Linked DNA regions of Oryctolagus cuniculus. The protein of the gene in region 5 purifies or fractionates together with the protein of the main gene of each other region. This does not show direct contact. Links are inferred from orthologs where the notes say so. Each region holds a gene or a part of one and is shown on either strand. Other genes may lie near its edges.

Region 1 (4,089 bases), on a different chromosome or scaffold from region 5:
AGTGTGACGTTATCCCAGTTTGAATCTTATCAGAGCTTCCTACCCTATGTTCACTCACACACACACACTCACATGCACACACTCACACACACGTTCAGCCTCCCCAACATTACACTGCATAAACGCTTTAATGGAGGTAACCCAGAACTCTTATGAGGCCAACCCGGCCTTTTTCCCCTAGCACAACACCTCTCTTCAAGCTAAGTTGGGACTCATTATTCATCCTGTCTTTCAAAATCAAGCTCACTTGACTTCAGAGAGTCTTGCTCGATTAGCCCTAGAGATCACCCAGCCAGACATTAACTTACCTACTTTCTTGGAACACTTTTATAAATAATATAATCCAATATATTTTTATAATTCTATGTTAAGGCTTCGTACTATAGAAATTCCTACCTTTACCAAAGACTAGCTTTTTTTTTTTTTTTTTTTTTTTTTTTTTTTTGACAGGCAGAGTGGATAGTGAAAGAGAGACAGAGAGAAAGGTCTTCCCTCTTGCCGTTGGTTTACCCTCCAATGGCCGCCATGGTTGGCGTGCTGCGGCTGGCGCACCGCGCTGATCCGATGGCAGGAGCCAGGTACTTATCCTGGTCTCCCATGGGGTGCAGGGCCCAAGCACTTTGGCCATCCTCCACTGCCTTCCCGGGCCACAGCAGAGAGCTGGCCTGGAAGAGGGGCAACCGGGACAGAATCCGGTGCCCCGACCGGGACTAGAACCCGGTGTGCCGGTGCCGCTAGGTGGAGGATTAGCCTATTGAGCCGCGTTGCCGGCCAAGACTAGCTTTTTTAAAAGTCTTGTCATAGTATATTTACAATTTAAGTGATATCCAGATTGACTTCAAAAATGAAGGAGAAAGCTAGCATTTAAATGAGGTAAGAATGACTGTCTTAAGTTAATAATGTTGAAGTGAGGTTGAGTACATGGAAGTTCATTACATTATTTTAATTTTGCATATGTATGTTTACAAGTTTTCAATTAGAGGTTTTAAAACAAACCAAAATGCTTTCAAACCTTTCTCTTATTAAGTCCTAGTTATAAGCCTAAGGGCAGACAAAACAGCCAATTCTATCTCTCTAGATAAGAATAAATAATTGTAAAATTAGAATAATTTTCCAAGGTGACTAGTGTGGTACTTTATCATAATTGGCATTATCATAAAAGCACACACTATAACAACTAACACTTAATGGGAACTTACTTAGTACCTTTCACATATCAGAGTATGTCAAAAAGTGCATGGAAAAAATGGAATTAAAAGATGTTTGGTTTGGTACAAAGATTATGATACCCAAGTATAGTTTTCTCATAATACACATTTTCTATGAAATGTCTGGAGACTCCTGGCAGTGACTTATTTAACGATCACAACCATGTAGTCAATAGGGTCTATTCTTATTTTTAACAGATTTTGAGAAAACCAAGGGACACAGAGGTTAGGGAACGAACCCAATCACACAGCCAGCAAGTGACAAGCTGAGATTTGATGCGGGACCCTGACTATGGAGTAGACAGGGCACTGCTTATATGGTGTCCTAGGATGTAGATGTCTGAACCACAACATTCAGAACCCAATTAGTACTGTTTAGTACAACATGCTACCTAAGATAGATTTGGGACCTGCATTTAGACTTCCCCTTTGAATGGGCCAGGTCAGCTGATAAAAACAGGGCGATCAACTATAGCCAGGTGTGTGGTTACCCACAAGAAACCTACTTTCTCTTCCCTCTCCTGTGTTGTCAGAAGCTGTTTCTCATCCCATCTTTCCAGAAACATCCTCACATTCTAATTTATAAGAATCAGGCCTCTATGAAACAGAAGACATCCTAGCTCACATCCTCAGGGCACAACTTGCAAAACAATCTCATTTATTTCCTTTGCCGACGCGGCCCAAGAGCTGACTCAAGGACTTCTACTGTAGTTCTGTGTTTACCTTTCATGAAGATTGTATACAGGACATAGAAGCGGGGGAAATGACGGCCCAAGAAACGATGGTATTTTCCATTAATCGCTTTTGTCTTGGTCACCACATAAGAGATCAAACTCTTCACATCTGCCTTTGGAGAAAAGTGAAGCTTGCAAGACCTACAAGGAAGATCAAGAGAGACTATCTGGGAACCAGTCCAAGAAGCCCCCCACCCCCAGCCCCGCACAACCTGGGGGTCCCTAACATACAACTCAAGCCTCAGAGAACGTATGCCAAGACCTGAAGCTCCTGAAATCAAGGAAGAAATCTTGGGGCCTAGGGATACAGACTATAGGGCGGAGGACAGGCAGGAAAGAAAGAGAGGCAGTGAAACGGAGCCGGAAAGACTGCAAAGCTTCTGCGACAATCTGAACCACGGGGAAGGCTTAGAGAGAGAGGTGGAATCAACACAGTAGCTATTAAACTTGAGCCGAAAACGGGGCTGAGAGATGGATTCGGAACACTCAGGGCGGACGCGTAGACCAGACAACACGGAGCACTGAAAGCTGATAGTCAGGAAGTCAGGTCTCTAACCCGATCGGGGTGCGCATCTTGAGAATAATAATAAAAAAAATATCCCGGGGCCAGGGCGGGGAACCCTGAAAATGAAGACAGCATGCAAGTAAGGTGGAGCCACTTGCAAGGGCCTGGACGTCAACAACGCTTTTCTCTCTCCAGGTCCCTCACCGAGGGGCCACCCAAGAGTGACCAAGCTGCAGCCTCCGGCTGACAAAAGGTCCACGGGTGACAGCCGAACTCCAGAGAGCAGCTCGAGCCCAGCACACCCTGGAGAGCGCCATCTTCACCGCGAGGGCGGGGCGAAGGGGCGGGGCGGACGAGTGGGTGTCTGCGGATCAAAGGTCACTGACGACGCATGCGCCTCACCTGGGCGCTGATTCGGTAGCCGCGGCGCGAAGTACGGAAGAAGGGCCAGGATTGGACGCAGCGTTACTTCCGGGTTTAAAGGCGCCGGAAGAGGTCTTTCCCCGAGGGAGTGAGGGCTTGTGTCAGTAGTGGGGGTTTGTGAACTTCAGGACGCCTTCTCCTTGAGAGGCCTAGTGACTTCACGATTCCCTGGGGTCTCAGAGCTTTCTGGCGCCTCCCTCCCTTAACCTCTGCCTAGACTCGAGGCGTTGAGGGCTTGACCGGTTCCCGATGTCAATTTGGCAGCGCCTCCGGCCACGTCGCCCCCTGGCGGCTGGGAGGACCCGCGGCGCTCTCTGAAGGTGGCGGCCTAATTAATTGGCCGGGAACTGTCCATTTTCGTCCGGGTGGCTGCAAAGAGTCAGCAACGTGGGAGCGGCCTCCTTGCTAAGTACGCTTTTCTTTTTCTTTCTTTTCGTGGAATTCCGGAATGGGCCTGTGGAAAAGTATCTTTCGTTAGGCGCCTACTGAAGACCAAGCTTGGTGTCAAATGCTAATTTTTCTGACCCGCCGTTCTGAAGTAGTACCCACAAACAGGACGCATATATGTATTTTTTTCTCGTATCACCCTTGTATTTTCTTTATGCATTCGTTTCCCTGTTTGACCAGCTTCCTGAACAAGACAGCAAGCACCTCTTGCCTGGGTCACTTCGGTACTCCCAACACTAGGTGCCATACTTGGCACGGACCAGAGCATTTAAAAAAAAAACATCGTGGAAAACTGGAATTAGGAGATGTGTATTTGGAGAGTGTGTTTGGAAATCCATGCATAGTCGCTCATCATGCACATTTTCCATAGACTTTTTCAAGATTCCCTTAAATGCATGAATTTCAAAATACCGTGCCCAGAAGAAACTATCTTTGGATTCTGTTTTCCACAAATGAAGCACCCTCGTAGTTAGTGCTCAGTAAACATTTCTGAGTAAATTAATACTTGAAGCTGGGGAGGATTTGCAGAAGTGGCACTTAAGGTGCTCCCAAGAGTTCACGTTTCTCTTGGGTCCGTGTGACTGTTTAACCTCTGTGGAGGGGGGGAGGTGGAAAGAACATTCCATTTGGAACCACGGAGTCTGAGCACCCGCCGTTTGCTTTCTTGTGTGCGACCTTGGACGTGTTAGTCTAGCTCTGAGTTTGTTCCCCGGGAAGTGGCACCCGCCTTAGGAGTTCTGTGATGAGCAAAGAACACGATGGAGGAAAGCCT
Region 2 (3,500 bases), on a different chromosome or scaffold from region 5:
CTGCCTGTAAACTAAGGTTTAAAATCTTAACTTCTTAAATGGAATGGTACTAAACTTTGTGAAGCTTTTGAATCCTTTTATGGAAGGCCCATGTGGGTGCAAAGAACTGTTGTTAAGTGTGGTTTTTATTTATTGATCTCTTATTTGTGTCATCTCCATGTGCAGCTAATTGGTTTACCAAACCATTTTTCTCTTTCACCACAGCAAGTGATAACTAAAGAATACGAGCTGTTTGAATTCCGGCGGACAGAGGTTCCTCCGTTGCTACTTATTTTAGATCGCTGTGATGATGCCATCACCCCATTGCTAAATCAGGTGCAGAATCCTTTGTCAGCTTAATAGAAGGTTGATTTTTGTGATATTCCTCAAAATAGAGATATGGAGATAAATAGTGTGGTCTATTTATTTGCCTCCTATTTCTTGCTCTTAGTGTTTTGGTCTTGTATTTCCTTGATGCTGTGGTATCACTATTCTTCCAGCCATAATAATTGTGAACTCTTTCTTCTGCTTCATCCTTCCTGTCCTCTGCTGCTACTCCCCCCACTCTGAATCAAGACAGCCTCTCAATTCTGTTCCTCTTTCTGTCCTTTTCCATTCTTACTGCCATTGCCTTGTGCAGACTCTAAGGTCTTGTAGGAATATTGAAAGAGTTATCTAGTTGATTCCCTACTTTAATTTCTTCTTATTCTAATTTATCCACAGATACATTCTTGTTAATTTTCTTTTCCTAAAGCACAGCTCCAGTCCTGCTACTCTGGGCTTAAAAATCTTCATTGGTTCTCATTTGCCTACCAAGTTAAAAACCTCCTGGACCTGGCATCCCAGGGCATCACCACACATAAAACCTATGGCTTGTTGCTGTGTGGATATGCCACATGACTTCCTGTGCCTGCTACCTGAACTCTGGAATGTTTGAAATACCTTCTCTTCTCCCCTTCACCTATCAGAGTATTTCTCCCTTAAAACCACTCAAAAGCCACCTAATATCTCCTTGAAGACTGTATTCTTTCAGTTAGACACATTCTTTTCTCCCTAAAATCACTGTAGAACTTTGTATTGCTCTTAGGTCTCTTGCTACACCTGCCATATTGGACTCATACCTTTGGTTACTTTCACCCTCTCCTAGTTGTCCATTCTTCAAGGCTTCATAGTGTGTTTTGTAAGTGTAAGCACACTGCCTTGCACATTTTAGGTGCTCTATTAATAGTAGCTGAATTTATAGAAAAAAAAAAGCAGTCTATATTTCAGTTTCTTTCTAGCTTATACTATAATAATATTACTGCAAAGGAAAATCTGTGGCTGTGCAATGAAACTTCTCTCTAATAGAAGATAGCCCTGTATTCCTAAAATTCAAAGAAAAATATGTTCACTAAAGAAATATTTTTTTAAGATTTCTTTATTTATTTGAGAGGCAGAGTTACAGACAGAGAGAAGGAGAGACACAGAGACAGAAGTCTTCCATCCATTGGTTCACTCCCCAGATGGCCTCAATGGCCAGAGCTGGGTTGATCCAAAGCCAGAAGCCAGGAGCTTCATCTGGGTTTCCCATGTGGGTGCAAGAGCCTGAGTCCTTGGGCCTTCTTTCACTGCTTTCCCAGGCCATCAACAGGGAGCTGGATTGGAAGTGGAGCAGCTGGGACTTGAAGCAGCACCCATGTGGGGTGCTGGCACCACAGGCATAAGCTTAACATACTACGCCACAGTGTCAACCCCCAAATAAACTTTTTATTATATAAAAAAGCAGAAAGAAAAATAATTGCCTAAAAATTCCATCTCCCAAAGAAAAGCAACTATTCATTCAACAGATTTCAATGAGGACCTGTTATATGCCACATATTGAACTAAGTACTGGAGATTAAAGGTTAAAAGATACAATCCCTACTCTCAGAGAGCTCATGGTCCAATGAGGAGAGAAGTGAACAAATAATTTTAATTATCCAATAAGAGCTATGGTGGAAGCATGCATAGGATGCTGTCCATAGAAGCACATAGCATCTTGCTGCATTTCTTTTAAGTGCCCTAATGAAATTGCTTTTGTGGGTATTCGTTTGGCAAATCTAGGAAAGTACCCTCTTTTATGACACTTTTAATTTTTTCTAAATAAGCCTAGTTTTCTTAAGATAAAATAGATGTATATAAATACTTTCAGCACTTAGGTTCTATATTTATTAGGTAATTTGTTGGAAAATACTATAGTTTTATATAAGGGACCTATGACTGAGAGCAATTCATTCTCCATAAATGGTAAAAAGGTAAAATTTGGGGATTTCTGCTTTCCATTTTGTAACATGGGAAATCAATCTTTCCTCACAATTCATATTAGGTTAAGAGCGTAAAACAAAATGAATTCAGAGGCAAGGTTCTGAACATGCCAGTATTTTGATCAACTCACAAGGTTTTTCTGATAATATTAGTGTTCCCAGGATAAATATAGCACCACTCAGATCTGCAAGAACACACTTCTCATGCTGCAGAAAACCACAGACGCGCACAGGAAATGGTACAGCTTGTAACTGCAGTACCAATATAGCCCTATCTGTGAAGCCGAAAATATACTCTTCATTCACGGGCAAAGAGTTGAACTAATGATAGATCTAATTTGTTTTCTTTCTATCAAGAATATTAATCCTTCTGTCCTTCTTCCAAAAGCGTGAAATCTAAAAGTATCTTGACTTTTGAGTGTTTAACCAGTTAAAATGAGAATCTTAATGTTTATTATAGCACCAAGTATTAAAAATTTGAACTAGAGAATCTCCATGTAAAGCAGACTAGTTACTAAAAATGTTATCAATTTTCATTTGTTTTCCTGAACGTGTACTATTTCCATGTTTTGTCAGTTACCTTTTTTTTTTCTTGCCATACTTCTATATTTAGTGGACATATCAGGCCATGGTCCATGAGCTGCTAGGAATAAACAACAATCGGATTGACCTTTCCAGAGTGCCAGGAATCAGTAAAGACTTAAGAGAGGTCGTGCTGTCCGCTGAAAATGATGAATTCTACGCTAATGTAGGTGGTTTTTAAATTTTTTGAATTGTTTTTATGTAAGAAGACCAATATTGGCTTATTAGAATAGGGGCAGGAATGCGATTTCAAGTGAAAGGATGGTGGAGACTTCCTATAAATAGGCTGTGTCTCAAGGGAAGGCAGAAGACTTGGATTCTGACCTTTAACAATATGTTTTTTGTAGAGATCACACAGTTACTTACTTCTGTCCCTTCTACTAGCTCTTTGTGAGAATAGTAATGATATTCATCACCAGTGTCCTGGCTAATGTCCAAATTTGGTAATTAGAATGGAATTTTCCTGCCCTTCAATTCTGTATTCGGGATTATTTTTCACTTCTTTTAAATTTTCTGAAAGTCACTGGCTAGTTGATGAACTATGCTTCCAACTTTGTTTTTCACAGAATATGTACCTAAACTTTGCTGAAATCGGTAGTAATATAAAGAATCTCATGGAAGACTTTCAGAAGAAGAAACCAAAAGAACAGCAAAAAC
Region 3 (2,553 bases), on a different chromosome or scaffold from region 5:
GCCAGTTCAGGGTTGCCAGCTGGGGCTGACTCTGTGGCACACAGATGGCTGTGCCGGCAGGTGCGGCCACTGCTGGCCCCGTGATGTTCCCACAGGTGTTGGATTGGTGGCCTGTGGCTGGTGGCTCCAACTTGCTCCCTAGGGCTCAGCCTCAGAGCCTGCACTGTTGGGGTGCCAGTCTCCACCCCCAGCTCCCCTTCGGCAACCTGGGTCCTCCTGCTTCCCTCCCTCACGTCACCTGCCCTGCTCCCGGGGCAACCAGAGGCTGAACCCCGCTTCGTGTCTGAACTGGGGGTCCCATTGCATCAGAGACTTAGGGGAGAGACACATCAGTCTCGCCTGTGCGTGGCACTGAGCCGGATGCTGGGCCTGGAGTGGGTTTTCTGCCAGCCACCTGGGGACCTCAGCGCTCTGGGGGTTCAGCTGTTTGGTTCCAAGTTGGGGGGACCTACGGAGAAGCTGCTCCCATGAGCGAGGCCACAATGAACCTGGTCGCCTCTCTGGCCACCCCGGTAGCCATAGCAGTCACAGATCCCGAGGCAGGAAAGAGGGGGTGATGGAGCACCTCACCATGGGTCAGGTCCCTCCAGTTCTCCAGGGCCTGGCCTGGGCCTTTCTCCCAGCAACCTCTCCTGGAAGGCATGGCTGCCCCTTTAGACAGAGCAGGAGCCGGGGCTCAGAGACCAGACTCCTGCCCCACGTCAGCTCCGAGGGCGGGCACTCCTGTCCTCTCCACACGTCCCGTGCAGGTACTCGGGGAAGGAGTGGCGGGGGCGCTGCTGGCATCTGAGGGTCCCCTCCTCTCTCTGTCCCAGGACGCCTTTCAGGAGGAATACCACAGGACCGGCATCTTCCCAGAGACGCCCCGGGTGCCCCCGCGGCGGCCCTGGGCCATCATCAACTGGCTCTTCTGGGCCTCCCTGCTGCTCTACCCCTTCTTCCAGTTCGTGGTCAACACGGTCAGCAGCGGCTCGTCCCTGACACTGGCCAGCTTCCTCCTCGTCTTCTTTGTGGGTAAGTGGGCTCGGTGACAAGGACACCCACCCTCAGCTGCCGTGAGGGGCCCTGGGCCGGACTCCCCCTGGCTACTGGGGCATTTCTGGAGCCAATTTGCACGTAACAGCGAGAGCCCTGGCCAAAGCCACCCCCCAGGGATTGCGGGAGTCTCACGATCTGGCCCCGTTGGCCAGTGCCTCCTCAGCCTCGAGCCTGGGCCCCAGTGGTGGTGCCTGGGCGCTGGGTGCATCGCCGCTCCCCCTCCCAGGCCTCGCACGGCAGTGTGCACACTGCTCTTGCTCCTGCACCCTCCAAGTCTCATTTCCATGGCTGATAGTGCAGCAGGGGCCTTCTGAGTCGGGTCCCCCGAGAGCCGGCCCCGAGCAGAAGCCGCCCCTTTGTAAATGACCCACGTGGCGGCTGCACAGGCAGCTTGCAGACCCCCAGGCTCGTGCACCGGAGTCCAGGCGTATCCGTTCCCGTCAGCCCTGGGTCCGGTGCTCGCACGTGGAGGCGTGGTCTTGGCCCCGGGAGAGTGCCCCAAGTCTGCCTCCCGGGAGGGAGGGCCTTCCTCTGCAACCTCTGAGCTGGAGTTCCTGCATTCCAGCTTCACGTGGGCCCTGCCATCAGGAGCGGCTGCCCCCGAGCGGTGCTGGAACCCAGGCCCACGTAGATGTCCAGGCCTGGGGTGACTGTCAAGCTGGGGTCACGAGCCAGCACCCGGGACCCATCGGCGCTCCGCTGATGCGGGCTACCTGCAGCCAGCCGGCTTCCGGGGCTCTCGGACTGTCCTCACCCTGCTCTTCCCACCTCTGCAGCTTCCATGGGCGTCCGATGGATGATTGGCGTGACGGAAATCGACAAGGGCTCCGCCTACGGCAACGTGGACAGCAGGCAGAAACAGAATGACTGACTTGGGCCGCAGTGTGTGCCTAAGGGAACCTTGGGGAACTGGTGGCCGCGGCTCGGGCTCCCTGCAGGCCGCGGGCTCCCCGGCAGGGAGGCGGCTGGCGGCGCCGCACGGGGAGGAGATGCTCTTAAACCCTTTTCCTCACCATTCAGTGGGTGCTGGCTTTTCTTCTTGGTGTGGGCGTGGGTGAGTGGATGGGCGCGAGCTGGAGGGTGAGGCCCGTCTGATGGGGGGAGGGAAGGGGTGTCCCTCTCACCCTCCGGTGCAGTGTTCTGTAACCCTTGATGGCCAGACAGTGAAAGGGGCTTTAGTAAGAACACCCAATCACGCAGAGTCCTGGCCCCCATGTCTACACGGACGCCCCCTCCGTTCTCCATCCCACCTCCGCCTTGTGGTCGGTGCTCTTGCAGGAGGAGCTGCCCAGGGGTGAGGGCTGGTGTCTGGGGACACGGGGACAGGTGCTGGGAGGCTGACCACTGAGTTCCCACGCTCAGGCCCAAATCCCTAAAGAAACTGACGGTGAAGCACAAGAATCATGGGCGTCGTGTGGCGACACGTGAGGCCTTACACCCACTGGCGCCCCCTGCAGTCACAGCACAGCCAGGGCTGCTTTATAAAACACTGCGGCGGCAGCCACCAGGACTGGG
Region 4 (4,068 bases), on a different chromosome or scaffold from region 5:
TCAGCATGAAGCATCTACTCTGAGGGAGGAGCTGAGTTTAAAAAAACGGGTTGTCTCCCAGACCAGGCCCACTGAGCTCCCTAGAAGCAGGAAGGGATTCACCATGACACTGAGGGTTTCACAGCTAAGATGTACAGATTACCAGTAGGAGTGGAGCTTCAGGGAACCCCCCAACACTCCACCATCAATCCATCCCAGTCCTCTCTTCAACTGTTCCATGGTTTTTCTCCCTCCTTTCTCTTCCAGTCACTTGCTTTCCTTCCTTCAACTTACCCTCTTCTTCGCTTTTTTCCTTTCTTTCAGCACCCTTTACCTCCTTTTCCAGGATATATAAACACAGGCACAAATATTTTTCAGACAATTCAGCCTTTATTTTTGAAAATAATTCTGTAGCTTCCACTTTTCATCCATGAAACTGAGGTCAGGCAAGAAAACACACACACACACACACACACACACAAATTCCTCTCCAACCAACATCTGCATCCTAGCCTGTGAGGACATGGGAATGTTTTGGAGAAGGTAGGCAGGACTTAGCTCATGGCCGGAGTTGTCCTGGTCTTGGCCACTGTAACTTATGTCAGGAGGGCCACCAGAAGCCACAGCCTTAGGGAGGAGCCTGTGTATAAAACTCAGGGAAGAAGGATCACACAGAACTGACCAGCACAGCATTCTCCTGAAGCAACAGGGAGGGGACTAATTTTTAGAAAGGAAGAGGTCAAGAGTGTCTCTTTGAAGTGGTACAATGAAGTTTTTTTCCCACTACCTTTCTCCCAATAGCTGGGTGCGAATATTTCTTTTCCTCTTCATTTTTCATCTTAGAACCAAAAATTGCTAGGCTGCAAAGAAAGAAGAGCTGACAGAAGTCAGGAATAAGGAAAGAAGAACAGAAGGCATTAACTCTGACAACCCAATAACTGCACCTAGACTCTGACAATGAGGCCCCTCTGGTTAGTATTATTCTGGCCACAATATGTTCACTTCTCCTGTAGCCCAGACCCTTATTAGGGGAAGGTAAAAAGGAGCATGAACAAGAAGTCTCATGCCCTGGCTCTCAGGTCAGAAAGAAAAGGCCTGGTTAAGAAAGCTAAAGTTGCCAACTCCTCTGCAGATGACCTAAGAGAAAAACTCAGAACATGGATATTTCTGGCCCCAAAAAGCCCATTCTTCCCCTATCACACAGTGGTTTGCTGCTTGATACCCAACAGACAGCAGAATGCTTTCCCTGATCTAACTCCTTTAACAAAAGAACCCTCACCTTGTCATCTGTGTATTCAAATGCCACTCAAAAAAGAAAAAAAAAAAAAATGGACCCAAGAGGGAAAGACAGAAAAGACAATGCAGCCCAGGGACTACGGTCCCATCTTAGATCATGAAATTGCAAGGAAGGAGCCCAGAAGGGACAGGCAGGAGCTGTTAAGTCCAACTAGGATCATAGCCATCCCAAGTCTGAGGGGGCGCCAGGTGGACACGGCGGCCCCGGAATAAGAAGGTGACAATGCCCCGGTATCCAGCCCTGGGTACACCTGATTTGAGGTCATCCATGACACCCAGGGCCTTGGCGAAAGCCTTGAAGCTGTCCCTGCCTGTGTACTGTACGCGCACCTCTCCTAGCTCCTTCCGGTCATTGGTCCTCACTTTCTCCACCTGTAACTGGGGAGCACCATAAACACGAGCAAGGAAATCCCGGTCATAGGCCTCCTGCTGAAGGTACGACAGGTCCAGCTGGGTGAAGGGTACAAACTGCTGGTTCAGCTTGATGAACTTGAGATGCTGGTCAAAGAACTGCCCATGGCTCACACCCTTCCGGCCAAATGTCATTGTTCTTGAGATTTCTGGACGCACACAGGCCCTCCCCTTTCGCTGCTCAGGCCGGCGCATCCAGTCATCCCAGAAGGCTTTGGGCCACTTGGGCTCCAGTTCAGCCCAGAGTTCAGCCAACAGTAACCAGCCTAAGCCAGGAAAGAAATCTGTGCGGTAGAGTAACTCTGGCTTACTCGAGTCTACCATCTGTTCTTTGCCATTGTCATTCCAGGCAGACACACACCAGAGGGAGGGGTCTGCTTTCAACAGTGGGTAAGTGGCCTGGAAGTACTCAAAGAAGTCTGGTGCCACCTCGAGATCATCTTCCACCACCACAGCTGCTGGGTAGTTGAAATTGTGGAAGATTTGGCCCAATGCCCAGCGGTAATGCCGTGCGATCTTGTAGTAGCCCTGGAACTTGCGGTGGTCGGGCTGCACAGCAATGTTGCTCAGGTCAGGTTGCCGGATGTGTGTGACTGCGCTGCCATAGGAAGCAATGACCTGGGCTGTCTCCTCATGCCCACAGTCCTGGCTGACAATGATGGGGAACAGCTCAGCTGAAGGCCGATAATGCAGTAGCTTGTCCAAACAGCGGCGGACGGTGCTGCGGTCACAGGCAATTACCAGGATGGGGATCACAGCTGGCGGTGGGGTCACAGGCACATGCGGCTGAGCAGGAGGGGCTGCAGTAGGCACCTTCCACCGCTGGCTCCAAAGAGCATGGTGCTCCCTAATCTGCTGCAACAGTCCCCGCTGACGTTCCAACTCTACCTCGGCATCCTGAGCTAAGCGGATCACCTCACGGGTGAGGCTGGCAGGGTCATCATCGAGAGCATTGTCTGACGGCAGCCTGCTAGGCACTGGACGTGTCCAGAAGAAGAGGAGCAGCAGGGCATTCCAGGCCACAAAGAGGATAGCACCCCACAGCACAAGCCCAGCAGACTGCTTCTTCAGCATCCTGGCCCCCACAGGGGAGGGCAGGCAAAGGTATGACTTGAGGCTGCCGTTGGCTTACCTGGTGCACTCTCCCACAATTCTAGAGATGCTTCCTCTATGCTACAGGATCAGAAAGCAGCCATACACCTAGAGAGGAGAGAAAGATAAAAACAACATTCACCAAAAAGGAATGAGGCCCCATACCCATATGGAGTAAAGGAATGTTAGCAGTAGGAAACAGGTAAAAACATGAGGGAAAGGGAAAGTAGGAGGCTGACTTAGAGATCTCATAAAGAAAAGCTACCTTTTCCCTTATTAAGACAGTCAACCTGCACTGGAAAATAGGATTAGGAAGATACTCTGCTCCACCAACCCAAAATGAGCTGATGAGTCTCAGAAAAGCAATTGAGGTTTGAGGGAAAGTAGAGGATGATGTTGGTGGAAGGAAAATATAAAAGAACTCTAGCTCCCCTTTTCCCTTTTATTTCCTATCTTCCATCTGGAGTTTAGGGAGAGGAATACGGGGTGAGATAATCTGCCTCCCATTCATCAAATCAATCTGCCCTAAAATTACTGATTTGAAAAAAAAACCTTAGGACTAAAGTCAGCACCTTACCTAATAAGAAAGCACAAGGCATTCCCATGAATGTCAGGAGCAAATCCAAGCTGCGCAAGATCTCCAAGGGTATTTAATACTGTGTTGGAGGTATCGGCCAATGCAACTGAACTACAGAAAACAATTAAAGATAGAAATGAAAAAGAAGCAAAACTATATCCAATTGCTGATACTAAAAATACACCTAGAGGACTCTAGAAGAATCCATGATAGACCTACACCAAAGAACTGAGAAAGGCAAAAAAATTTGCATACAAAAATCAGTCCTCATATCCACAAATAACTAGAAGAAATAATGGATAAGATAAACCTGCATGCCAAAGCTATGAAAATGATAAAACATTTAGAAATAAGCTTAACAACATTTAAAACTTACATGAACTAAGCTACATATTCTGAAAGACACAAGGATTTGAACACCCTTTGTTCTTGGTTAGGACATCTAAACATCATCAAAAATATCAATAAAAATACTTTTTCATGGAGCTACCAAAACTGACAATGAAAAATGAAACACATAAGAACGACTAGGAAAATAAATGAAATAATGAGCTATGAAGAGAGACTATCCCTGTCATGTATTAAAATATCACATTTACAAAGCCTCCATAACTAAAACTATGGTGCAGGTACATAAACAAACAGATCATCCAATGGGATAAAATTTAACTCCAGAAATAGATCCTCCATACATGGAAATCTAGTGTATGATA
Region 5 (4,074 bases):
AAAGCCAGAATATGGCTGTAAGATAACAGCTAACAATGACAAACCCAATAACAGATCCAAGATACGGTTGTAAGGTAACAGTGAGGGCACATTTCAACCTAGTTCCTGGAAATTTGGGCCCACATAGTCTCTTTCTTTTAAAGGATTTTTTTTTTTTTGACAGGCAGAGTGGACAGTGAGAGAGAGAGACAGAGAGAAAGGTCTTCCTTTGCCGTTGGTTCACCCTCCAATGGCCGCCGCGGCTGGCGCACTGCGGCCGGCGCACTGCGGCCAGCGCACCGCGCTGATCCGATGGCAGGAGCCAGGAGCCAGGTGCTTCTCCTGGTCTCCCATGGGGTGCAGGGCCCAAGCACTTGGGCCATCCTCCACTGCACTCCCTGGCCACAGCAGAGGGCTGGCCTGGAAGAGGGGCAACCGGGACAGAATCCGGCGCCCCGACCGGGACTAGAACCCGGTGTGCCGGCGCCGCTAGGCGGAGGATTAGCCTAGTGAGCCGCGGCGCCGGCTTAAAGGATTTTATTTATTTACTTGACAGTGAGAGAGACAGAGATAAAGGTCTTCCATCCATTGGTTCACTCCCCAAATGGCCGCAACGGCTGGAACTGCGCCTATCCGAAGCCAGGAGCCAGGTGCTTCTCCTGGTCTCCCATGTGGGTGCAGGGCCCAAGCACTTGGGCCATCCTCCACTGCACTCCCGGGTCACAGCAGAGAGCTGGCCTGGAAGAGGAGCAACCGGGACGAAAGCCGACACCCACACGGGATGCCGGCGCCGCAGGCGGAGGATTAACCTATTGCGCCACGGCACCGGCCCCCACCGGCTTCACAAGAGACACCCTTAGTCGTTAGCAAGCAAAGCTAATATGTACAGAAGCAAGAGATCTACAGTTAGCTTTTAGCCACGCTCACTCCATTTTGATTCTGATTCTACAGTCCCAGTGCCTCCAAGTCACTAGTTGCCTCCCAGATCCTTGGGGCTCAGAGGTCACAGAGGTGTCCTTGGCCTGAGGGCATCAGGCTTCAGCATGTGTGGATGGGGCAGAGGGGAGAAGCACCTGACCTGGGTGGAGAGCAGGGGCAGAGTCCTCCAGCCTCAGGCTACAGCTCCCCACCCAGCCACACGCCAAAGGCAGGGCTCAGGGTCAGAGCTTGGTGGGACACCAGAGGGAGGGCCCAGCAGTGCTTTGAGCCCAGCAGGCAGAGATAAGGCTGAGGGGTTCAAAGGCCAGGAAGCTGGCCCGGAGGGGCAGGGCTGGGAACCCTCCCTGGGCCTGGAGCTCAGGACCGGCCCTGACCTCCTGACCCAGGTGCTCCCAACCAGAGAGCGGCCAGGCCAAGGTCCCCGGCTCCCCTTCCTGTTTGTGCTGGGTCTCTGGCTGGTTCCTGGAGACTTGGGCGGGGGAGCATGACTCAGCAGGCAGCATTTGCCCGGGAGACCCCAGCCCAGCACCTAGGGAGAGGCTTCCCCACGCCCATCCTAACGGGGGCTCCTGAGGGCACAGGGGCTTCCTAGGCCACCAGCGCTGGGGGCAGTAGGAAGGGGGTGAAGCAAGGGGCCTGGGGCCGCGTGTGATCGCGTGGCATCTACCACCTCCGTCCCAGGACCCCAGCTTGGGGCCAGCCGCCGGGGTCCCAAGGCAACTCCCTTGGGGAGCAGAGGGGTGGCCCCACCAGCTGCCTCTGGGGGTGGCAGGTGGGGGAGCAGGTGCCAAGGCCACCCACCTGCAGGGAAGAGACCCGGTCTCACCAGACACATCTGAGGCTCCACGGCAGCCCCAGGGAGGACCTGCTACTGGAATGGCTAATCCGGCGCCTCCAGCAGCCAATCACAGAGCCCTGCAGCCAATACCTGGGAGAGGTCTCCCAAGGCCCAGCCCCAGCCTGGCCCCAGGCAGCCCCAGTGACCCAGACACCCACAGCCTCCAGAAGGCGCTGAGCAGCAGGCCGACGATGGCGGTCCCGGCGTCCCCGGCCTGCCTCCGGCCGGGGCTGCTCCTGGCCCTGCTGGTGGCGGTGGCCTCGGCGGCCCAGCACCCCCGTCTGCTGAACCTACTCACCTCCAGCCAGGGCGCTCTGGACCGGGAGGCGCTGGGCGGCTTGTTAAATACGCTAGCGGCCCGTGTGCACTGCGGCGGGCCGTGTGGAAAGGTAACTGCCCCACCCGACGGCCCCCGGCCCCAGCCCCTTCCCGCCTGCTCCACCCTGTGTGCCGCAGCAGAGGGCCCGGGCAAACTCCAGGAGGCGGGCCTCGGGCGCCCAGGAATCCAGGGGCCATCAAACTGGTGGTGGCTCCTGGGGAAAGCTGGAGACGGGGAGCCCAGCCAGGGACGCCCTGTGTGCACACAACAATCCGCCGGCCTAAGACGGCCATGCGGTGTGGACTCCCGGGGTGGGGACCACTGTGTGCCCTGAGGGGGTGCTGCAGCTCCTTGCACACAGACCCACAGCCCGGCCTGGCCCCTGCCCACCCTCTGCCCACAGTGCCCGTCTGTGGAGGATGCCCTGGCCCTGGGCGAGCCCGAGGCACCGGGGCGGGCCCTGGAGTCCCGGCACATCGCCCGCCTCAGCGCAGCAGCCGCCCTCTTCCTGAGCAACCCGGAGGGCACCTGTGCCGACATCCGGGCTGGCCGCTGGGCCGCCCGCGCCGATGGACTCCTGGCCCAGCTCGAGGGCCCCGGGGCCCTGACCGCGGGCCTGAGCCGGCTGCTGCGGAGGATCGAGGACCCCATTGACCGCCAGGCCACTGGGGAGGAGGTCAGGGCATGGGCAGGCCTGGTACAGAATGGATGAGAAGGGCCGACGGCCAGTGGAGGGGCCGCCTGGGGGTCCTGGCTGTGGCCACACAGGGCACCTGGGGCACGCCGGGGAGGTGGCGGGGGGCTGGGGTCCAAGGTGGTGTTCACTGGCAGCTCCTGGGAGGAGAGGGCTCACAGGAGCGGACGCCAAGGGAGGGGCTGGTGGGGGAGACCCGGGGTGCCAGGGCAGGCGGCCAGCCCAGGCGCCGGGGGAGGCTGAGGCCATCTCCTCCCCCAGGCCTGCACGGGTGTCCCTCAGCTGCTGGAGGAGGCGGTGGGGGCAGGGGCCCCCGGCAGCCCTGGCGCGGCCCTGGCCGCCCTGCTGGACCACGCCAGGAGCGGGTCCTGCTTCCGCGCCATGCCGGACCCCCAGTACTTCGTGGAGTTTGTGTTCCAGCACCACAGTGGCGAGGCGCCCAACCTCACCCTGGCCGGTGAGACCCGGGTCCCTCGGGAGGGCGAGGCGGGGCCGGAGCCGGCGGCCGGCGCTGACTCTGGCCTCCCTGCCAGAGCTGGAGACGCTGATGCACACGCTGGGGCTGGGTGCTGAGGCCCACAGTGACCACAGGAGTCTGGGCAGGGCGGCCGGCCCCCAGGAGCCTGGTGCCCTCAACAGCAGCTCCCACGAGTGGGACGTGGTGAGTGGCCTGGGGCCCCGGGGGGCAGATGGGCACCCACGGGGATGCTAAGGCCCTGATCGCTGTCTCCCCCCACCCCGCAGGCGTGCCTGAGTGCCAGGGACGTGATGGCCGTGTACGGGCTGTCGGAGCAGGAAGGGGTGAGCCCGGAGGGCTGGGCCCAGCTGAGCCCTGCCCTGCTCCAGCAGCAGCTGAGCGGGGCCTGCAGCCCCCAGACCACCACCTCCACCAAGGACCAGCTCAGCCAGAGCGAGCGTGAGTGCCCGCCCGGCCGCCGCCGTGCCCCAGGGTGCCCCAGGGTGCCGGTTGTCCCAGAGGAGGGGCAGGGGTGAGGGGCCAGCCATGCGCGCCCCCTCACGCGGCCCTGCTCCCCAGAGTACCTGTACGGCTCCCTGGCCACCCTGATCATCTGCCTGTGTGCGGTCTTCGGCCTCCTGCTGCTGAGCTGCACCCACTGCAGCGTGGCCACCCACTACGTGCTGCAGACCTTCCTGAGCTTGGCCGTGGGCGCGCTCACCGGCGACGCCCTCCTGCACCTGACGCCCAAGGTCTGCCCGCCCCCACCCCCGCGCCCCCACCCCGGGACGCCGCCCCAGCCTCTCTCCCAGCCCAGCGCCCCCTGCTCCCCAGGTGCTGGGCCTGCA
Region 6 (3,500 bases), on a different chromosome or scaffold from region 5:
CAGCTGGGGCGGGGCCGGGCAGGGTTTCCCGTGTGTGTGTGTGTGTGTGTGTGTGTGTGCGCGCGCGGGGGACATTCGCAGGCAGCTGGATCGCAAGTGAAGCAGCCAGGTCTCTAACCAGCGCTCTGCTCCGGGATGCTCGTGTTGCAGGGCGTCACAGGTGGCAGCTTAACGTGCTGCACTACAGCCCCATCCCCGGAATAATTTTTCTTAAACAGCGCTTTGAGCCAACAGCCTAGCCTAGTTGGAGGTATTGCTGTAAACCGCCCTCCCCCCGCAACCGGGTTCATTTGCCCCACGTGGTGCAGAAAACCAGCCACTGCCATTGGGGTGGTGGAAGAAAGTAGATGTGTGTTACAAAGGAGGAAGCAAGGAGCGATTGCGTAATCCCTAGGGAATTAGGGGTAAAGGTTTTTTATAGATTGAAACTAGGGCCGAGAGATGCGTGATCAGCTCGTGTCCAGCTTCCTGCTTTGCGCACTTGTACACAACCCCTAAGAGCTGGCTTGAGCTGTACTCAGCTCACAGGTGGGCAGGCTGACAGCCAGCGGGCTGACGCCGGGGGTCTTGTCTGTCCTACGCCCTCGGCCACGGACACCGTCCCTGGCTGCCGCCGGAGCCCCTGGGCCCCTCCGTGTCCGGAGTGGAGCGTGGGACCCGCGTTCAGAAATCGGGTCCGATTAAGGAGCAGGAGAAGAGGAGTCAGTGCCCAGTGGCGTGCATGGCACTGGCCTGTGGCGGGCCCTGGCCCCGGGTGGCGTGGCGGGGGTCTTGGGTGGGGTGGCTTGGCGTGGTGGGGGTCTGGGGCATGGCACCGGCCTGGGCTGGGCCCTGGTCGTGACGTGGCGGGGGCCCCGGGCTCGGCGGGGTTCCCGCGCGTGGCACCCCGCCAGCTCTCACGCTGTGCTCTCCCCGCAGACGCGGATCGTGGAGCTGGAGGGCCGGGTCCGCCGAGCGGCCGCCGAGAGAGGCGCCGTGGAGCTGAAGAAGAACGAGTTCCAGGGGGAGCTGGAGAGGCAGCGGGGACAGCTGGACAAGATCCAGTCCAGCCACAGCTTCCAGCTGGAGAGCGTCAACAAGATGTGCCAAGACGAAAAGGCAAGACCCGGGCGCCCCTGCTCCGGCCGCGGCGCGCCCTGGGCGGTGGTCGTGGCTCTCCTAACGTGGTGCGTGGGTCTCACTCTGCCTCCAACCCTGGCCATCCATGGCTTGTGGGTGGGGCCCTCCAAGTCACGCCCACTTACCCATGATGCACCTGTCTCATCCAGGATGCGGAAGGGGGAGGCACCTCTCCTGGGTGGGACTGGTCATGGTCACGCCCACTTACCCATGATGCACCTGTCTCATCCAGGACGCGGAAGGGGGAGGCACCTCTCCTGGGTGGGACTGGTCACGGCCACGCCCACTTTCCCATGATGCACCTGTCTCATCCAGGACCGGAAGGGGGAGGCACCTCTCGAGGCCCCGGGATCGCAGTGGTCGCGGTCACTTTCCCATGATGCACCTGTATTGTCCAGGACCCGGAAGGGGATGGCACCTCTCCTCCGGAAAAGGAAGTTACGTTCCATGGGGAGGCGCCATGACACTCGATCTTCCCACCAAACACCGCTCTGTGTGTGGATTCAATTAGGGCAACATCTTGTACCTTATCGAAGGGGCTGAGACGCCCCGTGTGCATTTTGGCTCTTGTTTTGGGTCCGTTCCGGCCGCCTCCCATGCTCTAGTCCTAGGCAGCTGTGTGGCCCACTCATGACTGGGATGTCTCCTTGGGGAGAGGCCCGCATGCAGGCGAGTGTGTATAGTCACTCTCAGATAAATCCTGCTCTCACTTGAGCACTACGCTTATTCCTCTGCTTTAAATTCCTTGTATTCAAAGCTCATCTTGATCAAGCTAGTTGGTTTGATTGACTGGAAAGAGTTAGCCAGAGAGGGAGAGACAGAGATCTTGGACCTGTTGGTTCACTCCCCAGGTGGCGGCTGGGGCTGGGGCTGGGCCAGGCCAGAGCCAGGAGCTTCACCCAGGTCTTCTGTGTGGGTGCAGGGGCCCAAGCACTTGGACCATCTTCAGCTGCTTTCCCAGGCCACAGCAGAGAGCTGGATCAGAAGTGGAGCAGCCGGGACTCGAACCAGTGCCCACCGGGGATGCTGGCGTCTCAGGCGGCGCCTTACCGGCTCTGCCACAATGTGGGCCCCCTCTGCTTTAAATTCTAATCTCTGTGGGGACTGGAACTTGGCGTGGACTTGCTTAGGCCCTTAACAGATCGATCCCCTGTTGGCTTCCTTTCTACACACATATGTTAAACACCTGCTCTGGGCTGGGCCTGTGCTAGGTGCTGGACTCCCAGAGGAAGCATCCGTGCCTTCACGAAGGGCAAGAGTTGCAAGCTTCTATGTGCTACTCACAAAATAGAGGCTCAAGAGAGTAGGCTTTTCATTTGGGGGAGAGAGAGAGAGAGAGATCCTGTTTGCTTGTTTACTCTCCCAAAGCCTGGATCGGCTGGCACTGGGCCAGGCCAAAGCTGGGAGCTAGGAATTGGCTGCAGGTCTCCTGTGGGTGGCTGGGACCCAAGTCCGTCAGCCATCATCTGCTGCCCCCCAGGGTGGGCGTTAGCAGGAGGCTGGAGTCAGGACCTGAAGTTGGGACTCAGACGCAGGCACTGAGATTGGAGCTTGTTTTGGGTCCCTTCTCAGGCTGCCCTGTGGTGCACGCACCTCTCTCTCTGGGCTGGTTGATTCACCGACATCCAGTGGGTCAGATGTGGACTTGGCGTTAGTAGGAGCTGGTGTCCAGCATTTCGCTGGCCTCAGGCGCTCTGGACAGATTGTAAATGCACTTTTCTTTATCTGTAGAATCCTCTGCCATATTCACAAACTCATACTTCTTCCTCGGGCATTGTTCTGATTTTAATGTTAGAACAGAGTCCTGTATTTTTCCTCCCTGGGGGACACTATTTGTGTTTGCGAAGTCCTCTTCCACTGAATGTCATAGGACCTGGGCATTTCTCACCGTGTAAGTACACACAGCATCTCTTAAAAAAAATAAACACTATTGGGGAGAAGAAGTAGAGTTTATTTTCAAAGAATTGAGTTTGAGAGAATTCCTCCTGGGATTTGCAACTTCCTGTGCAAATGTCACAGGCTCCCAGGTTCTCAGAGTCTGGGAAGATGGTGCGCCATCTCTTCCCAGACCCTGAGAGTCAGCCTCTGCTGAGTCTCTCGGGCTGACACTCACAGGCACCCCTTCCGGGTCCCTTTCAACCCCCTTAGGAGGCTGCGGCCATTTTACAGGCGTGACAGGTGGCGCTCAGGGAGCAGTGGTCGCCAGGATGAGACCTGGACCTGGGATGGCCTCCCGACTCCCATCTTCCATGTCCTTCCTAATGTGCCTTTGTCTTGTTCTCTGCTAGAAATGTTCTCTGCAGCACAGTGGCACTCACCACTAGGGTTGCTGGGGCCAAGGGACTGAATTTTAGTGAATTGTAACCATTTACATGTAAATG
Region 7 (4,112 bases), on a different chromosome or scaffold from region 5:
ATATTGAACTGCACAGCTGCGAGGAGTTGCACAAATGTTACCAACTCATTTGTCATGCAAACAGTGCTTCAGAAAGAAATAAAATACTATTATGTGGTGTATGTGCTAGGCAATCACTATATCAAATTCATGGCATTCCGTGCAAACACAGGCAGAGAAAAGGAAAACAACACTTGGTGAGAGAAACCGCACCACATGGGAGCAGCTAAGTCAGGGAAGACGGGGAGCATGACCAAGCCCAGGCTGTAATTTTCCCAGCGATTGGGGCCAGTGTTGAATACCCCTGGGGTAGAGCAAGTGGCAGGAATGCACAACTCTCCTGGGGCGCCTTGCTCGGTCCTCGTCCCGGGAGAGGAGGGACAGGTTGAGGGAAGGGGGGGGTGGGCCTCGGGACTGCTGGGTGAAGCTACCGGGAGGAGGGAGTGTGGGAGCGGGAAACACGCGTGGACCTACTAGGCAGGCAGGGAGCAGTGGGGAGGGGGAGGAGAAGGAAGGCGGTGACGTAGAGTTCCCTTGCTTCCCTTAGCGGGTGCTAGGAGCCCCTGTGTAAGCAAGTCGCCTGCCCCGCGAGGGGCTCTGCGCGGTGCTGGCCACAGAGGCGTGGGCGAAGCAGGCACCCTGTCCTAAGCACCTTGCACACAGCACCTCTCCCAAGCCTCACAGCCACCTCTGGAGGTTCACTGGCTGCCGGGACAGAGACGCTCGTGGTACAGGACCACACATCCGACAGCTGTGCAGCAGGGGTTTGCAGCCCAGCTGTCGCCTTCGGAGTTGACATCCTAAACCACGAGCGGCGGCAGCCAAGACCGCGCGCGTCTCGTCTCGGGGGTAAAACCCCGAGCGCCGGAGCCCAGGGCCTCCACGCAGCCGGGGCCAGGCTGTGTCCCCGGCGGGCTCGGCACAGGGTTGGCCCAGGACGTCTCGGCGCGGCGCGTGCTTGGGTCCCCCCCCCACGACACAGAGGAAACGCAGTCCAAGCACAGAGAGGCGAGTGATCGTGTCTCCCAGTGACTTGTCTCTCACCATTAGGCAATTCATCCATTAAATCAACACTTTATTGAATGCCTACCACTTGCCGTTGACCGCGCTAGGGGCGCAGGAAGCAAAGAAAAACACTGCTGGGTCTAACAAACGGAGAGCGAGGGGGAGGGCGCCGCAAGACGGGAAAAGGGAAGAAAAAAAAAATCCTCCGACCTCCCCAATATGGCCGGCGCACGAGCCAGGCCGACCTCCCCAACATGGCGGCACGCCGACCTTCCCATCATGGCGCGCGGCCCCGCCCGCCCCGCCGCGGCTGCCGGCGCGAGCAGTTCCGGGTGCGGTGCGCGCCGGGGGCGGGCGGGGGGCGGCGTCCTGGCCATGGCCGGCCTGTCGGACCTGGAGCTGCGGCGGGAGCTGCAGGCCCTCGGCTTCCAGCCAGGACCCATCACCGACACCACTCGGGACGTCTACCGCAACAAGCTGCGCCGCCTGCGGGGCGAGGCCCGGCTGCGCGACGAGGAGCGGCTGCGGGAGGAGGCCCGGCCGCGCGGCGAACTGCGGCTGCGGGAGGAGGCCCGACTGCGCGAGGAGGCGTCGCCGCGCGCCCGGCCCGCCGCGGCCTCTCTGCGGGCGGAGCCCTGGCTCTCCTCTCCGGCCTCGGCCTTCACGAACCCCGGGGCCTATGGCGATCTCGGGGCCTCCGCGGCTTCCTGGGCGGGGAGCCGCGGCCTCGCCTTTCCCGCCCGCCCCGCACCGTTCAGGCGCCGGGCCTCGGTCCGGGGCAGCTCTGAGGAGGACGAGGACGCCCGGTCGGCCGACAGGGCCGCGCTGGGCCCGGGCCTCTCGGGCCGCCGCTGGTGGGCCGCGTCCCCGGCGCCGGCGCGGCCGCCCTCCTCTCTCCTCGGCCCCGACCCGCGCCCGGGCCTGCGGGTCACGCGAGCCGGCCTTGCAGGCGCGGCGCGGGCCCGACCCGAGGTGGGGCGGCGGCTGGAGCGCTGCCTGTCTCGGCTCCTGCTCTGGGCCAGCCTGGGGCTGCTGCTCGTCTTCCTGGGCATCCTGTGGGTGAAGATGGGCAAGGCCTCGGCGCCGCAGGAGGCGGAGGACAACAGTACGTCCCGGGCCGGCGCAGGGGAGGGCCTCTGACTCTCCTCTCCCCTCCAGACCTGCGCCTTCCTCCTTCCCCGCACCTGCAATCGTGCCTGCCTTGGCTGTCTCCTGTTTTCCTTTTCTGCCCTGGCCTTGCCTCCTAACACGGCCCTCTCAGCCACGTGCTGGGGAGCAGGTTGAGGTTTTGCCCCAGCCTCTGGCTTTCCCTCTCTTAACAGGCCCACCCCCACCTCTTTCTGCTTATGTCTCCTGCGTTGCTCTCCTGCTCACCCACACACTTGAGGGCACCCTCTACATCACTAGCCCCACTGGTCGGGTCTGGTTGAGGTCCCAGCTTTGCAGTACCAGAAAGGCCACCAGTTCACTTCTCTGGACCACAGGCCTTCGTTTGTCAAAGGGGTTCCTCCTAGCTCCGTGCCTGAGACAGGCACTGGGGGAGCTTTTAAGAGTTCAGGCTGATGGCAATGGGAGGTGTTGGCGTAGCTTGCGGCGCCCTCGTGCAGTGAGGGGTCTGTCGGATGCAGTGGGTCTCCCAGCAGCTGGGGGCTTGCATTGCCTAAATGGGAAATTTGAAGAGGAAACAACACAGGGGTCATTTAATTCTAAATCTAGGTATAGAGGGACACTCTGGTGCAAAGCAGGAGTACGATTCACACTGCTCCCAGCCTCGGGCCAAGGCCACATCTTTCCATGCCTAGTGGGAGCAGGTGAAATACGGGGGGAGGCTAAATTGTGTCTCTGCTGTGTGGCAGGGGGATGCTGGGGGCATGTACCGTCTGTGGGCATGGGGACCGCAGACTTAATGCAGGTGCCCAAGGGATTGCGGTCTGTCACCTCTGTGACTCGGCGTGTCCACCTGCAGGAGAAGTGGGGCACGCCCCCAGTGGCGTTCGGGCCCGGGTGGAGGTGGAGGTGCTTTAACACGTCAGCGCTGGGTTAAATGCTGAGATTTGCCTGCCGCTCGCCCCAGGGATGGTGGCGTCCTTGTCAAACACCGCACTTTGTGGACGGTTTACAAAGCTGCCCCATGCTTGTGTTGTGTTGTTGGAGACCACGTCCCTGAAGATAAGCGGAGCAGGCCCATCTGGTCCCATTTGAGAGGTTCAGAGCGTGTGTGTGTTGCCCAGGGACCTGTGGCTGGCGGTTTGCAGCTGAGCGGAGGGCCCGGCTGTCCCGATTCCTAGCCCAGGACGGGGAGACCCTCACACTTCGCCGTGTGCAGTGCAGAGTGCCCCCTTAGCTGGCTGCCAGCCCCGTGTTTGTGTCCCTGTTGGCCTCGCCCTGCGTTTTTCGCCAGTGGTCTCCGTGGTCTTCCCCCCAACCCACACTTTTAATTTCCTCTGTTTCTTTTCTGGGTCTCAGTGAAGTTGTTGCCAGTGGACTGTGAGAGGAACTCGGATGAGGTGAGTGTGGGCTGCCCGGGCTTTCATTCTTCCTCCCCAGGCTGTCGGCCTCCACCAGGAGGGAAACTTCTGCAGAAGAGGATTGTAATAGGCTCATTTTCGGGGAGTGCGTCCTGTAATGTGCCAGAATCACATGGTGTTCTGATGTTTGTGTCAGACTCAATTGTGACAGTGAGGGAGCGCTTGAAACAGAACTGAGCTCCCAGGATCCTACCCTGGGCTTGTCGCAGACGCTTTCCCATCAGGCATAGCGCCGGGGGCTTTGATGTGCCCGAGTCGATCTAGGGGATGCGGTGGGTTGTTGTCGGGGGCCTCCGCAGCTCCCAGGCCTTGTCAAGCCTCAGGAGGCCAGGTTCTCCGCTCCGCACGCTGGGCCTGGCCGTGTTTGTCTGTGGCTCTGGAGTTGCTGCTCTGCTGGGGAGCACGGGGGGGGGGGGGGGGGTGTTTGCAACACATGTCCTGGGAAGTGGAGTCGGCCCGGGGCCCGCGTGCGGATTTGTTTTCTGAAGCTCTAATGTTCTCTACAAATAATATCGGGGGAAGCCAGCGGCCCCATCCCTCCGTGAATATGACGGCAGCACCTGCCCGGGGCTGGGACGCCGGGAAGATACGAGGCGGCCA

What was found.
Region 1: the proteins of SLC39A4 (region 5) and LETMD1 purify together in Homo sapiens (affinity purification with mass spectrometry; 3 studies listed by BioGRID and IntAct, counting the BioPlex papers as one, with this or other methods). This does not show direct contact. The link is inferred for Oryctolagus cuniculus from reciprocal best matches to the Homo sapiens genes SLC39A4 and LETMD1.
Region 2: the proteins of SLC39A4 (region 5) and VPS45 purify together in Homo sapiens (affinity purification with mass spectrometry; 3 studies listed by BioGRID and IntAct, counting the BioPlex papers as one, with this or other methods). This does not show direct contact. The link is inferred for Oryctolagus cuniculus from reciprocal best matches to the Homo sapiens genes SLC39A4 and VPS45.
Region 3: the proteins of SLC39A4 (region 5) and AGPAT4 purify together in Homo sapiens (affinity purification with mass spectrometry; 3 studies listed by BioGRID and IntAct, with this or other methods). This does not show direct contact. The link is inferred for Oryctolagus cuniculus from reciprocal best matches to the Homo sapiens genes SLC39A4 and AGPAT4.
Region 4: the proteins of SLC39A4 (region 5) and MGAT1 purify together in Homo sapiens (affinity purification with mass spectrometry; 3 studies listed by BioGRID and IntAct, with this or other methods). This does not show direct contact. The link is inferred for Oryctolagus cuniculus from reciprocal best matches to the Homo sapiens genes SLC39A4 and MGAT1.
Region 6: the proteins of SLC39A4 (region 5) and GOLM1 purify together in Homo sapiens (affinity purification with mass spectrometry; 3 studies listed by BioGRID and IntAct, counting the BioPlex papers as one, with this or other methods). This does not show direct contact. The link is inferred for Oryctolagus cuniculus from reciprocal best matches to the Homo sapiens genes SLC39A4 and GOLM1.
Region 7: the proteins of SLC39A4 (region 5) and LEMD2 purify together in Homo sapiens (affinity purification with mass spectrometry; 3 studies listed by BioGRID and IntAct, counting the BioPlex papers as one, with this or other methods). This does not show direct contact. The link is inferred for Oryctolagus cuniculus from reciprocal best matches to the Homo sapiens genes SLC39A4 and LEMD2.

What each region holds. Positions count from the first base shown.
Region 1 is NC_091442.1:54,530,880-54,534,968, reverse strand, and holds the start of LETMD1 (LETM1 domain-containing protein 1), read right to left. Parts: upstream 2,801-4,089; 5' UTR 2,765-2,800; coding exon 2,652-2,764; exon of another isoform or gene 2,606-2,651; intron 2,564-2,605; exon of another isoform or gene 2,516-2,563; coding exon of another isoform or gene 2,499-2,515; intron 2,084-2,498; coding exon 1,932-2,083; intron 1-1,931. UniProt on the Homo sapiens protein: Plays an essential role for mitochondrial structure and function, as well as thermogenesis of brown adipocytes.
Region 2 is NC_091438.1:47,877,321-47,880,820, reverse strand, and holds part of VPS45 (vacuolar protein sorting-associated protein 45), read left to right. Parts: intron 1-204; coding exon 205-315; intron 316-2,874; coding exon 2,875-3,009; intron 3,010-3,409; coding exon 3,410-3,500. UniProt on the Homo sapiens protein: May play a role in vesicle-mediated protein trafficking from the Golgi stack through the trans-Golgi network.
Region 3 is NC_091436.1:7,536,589-7,539,141, forward strand, and holds the end of AGPAT4 (1-acyl-sn-glycerol-3-phosphate acyltransferase delta), read left to right. Parts: intron 1-815; coding exon 816-1,014; intron 1,015-1,814; coding exon 1,815-1,909; 3' UTR 1,910-2,053; downstream 2,054-2,553. UniProt on the Homo sapiens protein: Converts 1-acyl-sn-glycerol-3-phosphate (lysophosphatidic acid or LPA) into 1,2-diacyl-sn-glycerol-3-phosphate (phosphatidic acid or PA) by incorporating an acyl moiety at the sn-2 position of the glycerol backbone.
Region 4 is NC_091445.1:34,438,062-34,442,129, forward strand, and holds MGAT1 (alpha-1,3-mannosyl-glycoprotein 2-beta-N-acetylglucosaminyltransferase), read right to left. Parts: upstream 2,801-4,068; 5' UTR 2,761-2,800; coding exon 1,417-2,760; 3' UTR 350-1,416; downstream 1-349. UniProt on the Homo sapiens protein: Initiates complex N-linked carbohydrate formation. Essential for the conversion of high-mannose to hybrid and complex N-glycans.
Region 5 is NC_091437.1:168,134,529-168,138,602, reverse strand, and holds the start of SLC39A4 (zinc transporter ZIP4), read left to right. Parts: upstream 1-1,274; 5' UTR 1,275-1,794; coding exon 1,795-2,145; intron 2,146-2,478; coding exon 2,479-2,751; intron 2,752-3,030; coding exon 3,031-3,226; intron 3,227-3,302; coding exon 3,303-3,430; intron 3,431-3,513; coding exon 3,514-3,685; intron 3,686-3,805; coding exon 3,806-3,978; intron 3,979-4,060; coding exon 4,061-4,074. UniProt on the Homo sapiens protein: Selective transporter that mediates the uptake of Zn(2+). Plays an essential role for dietary zinc uptake from small intestine. The Zn(2+) uniporter activity is regulated by zinc availability.
Region 6 is NC_091432.1:144,419,183-144,422,682, forward strand, and holds part of GOLM1 (Golgi membrane protein 1), read left to right. Parts: intron 1-918; coding exon 919-1,098; intron 1,099-3,500.
Region 7 is NC_091436.1:135,444,715-135,448,826, forward strand, and holds the start of LEMD2 (LEM domain-containing protein 2), read left to right. Parts: upstream 1-1,312; 5' UTR 1,313-1,359; coding exon 1,360-2,089; intron 2,090-3,450; coding exon 3,451-3,491; intron 3,492-4,112. UniProt on the Homo sapiens protein: Nuclear lamina-associated inner nuclear membrane protein that is involved in nuclear structure organization, maintenance of nuclear envelope (NE) integrity and NE reformation after mitosis.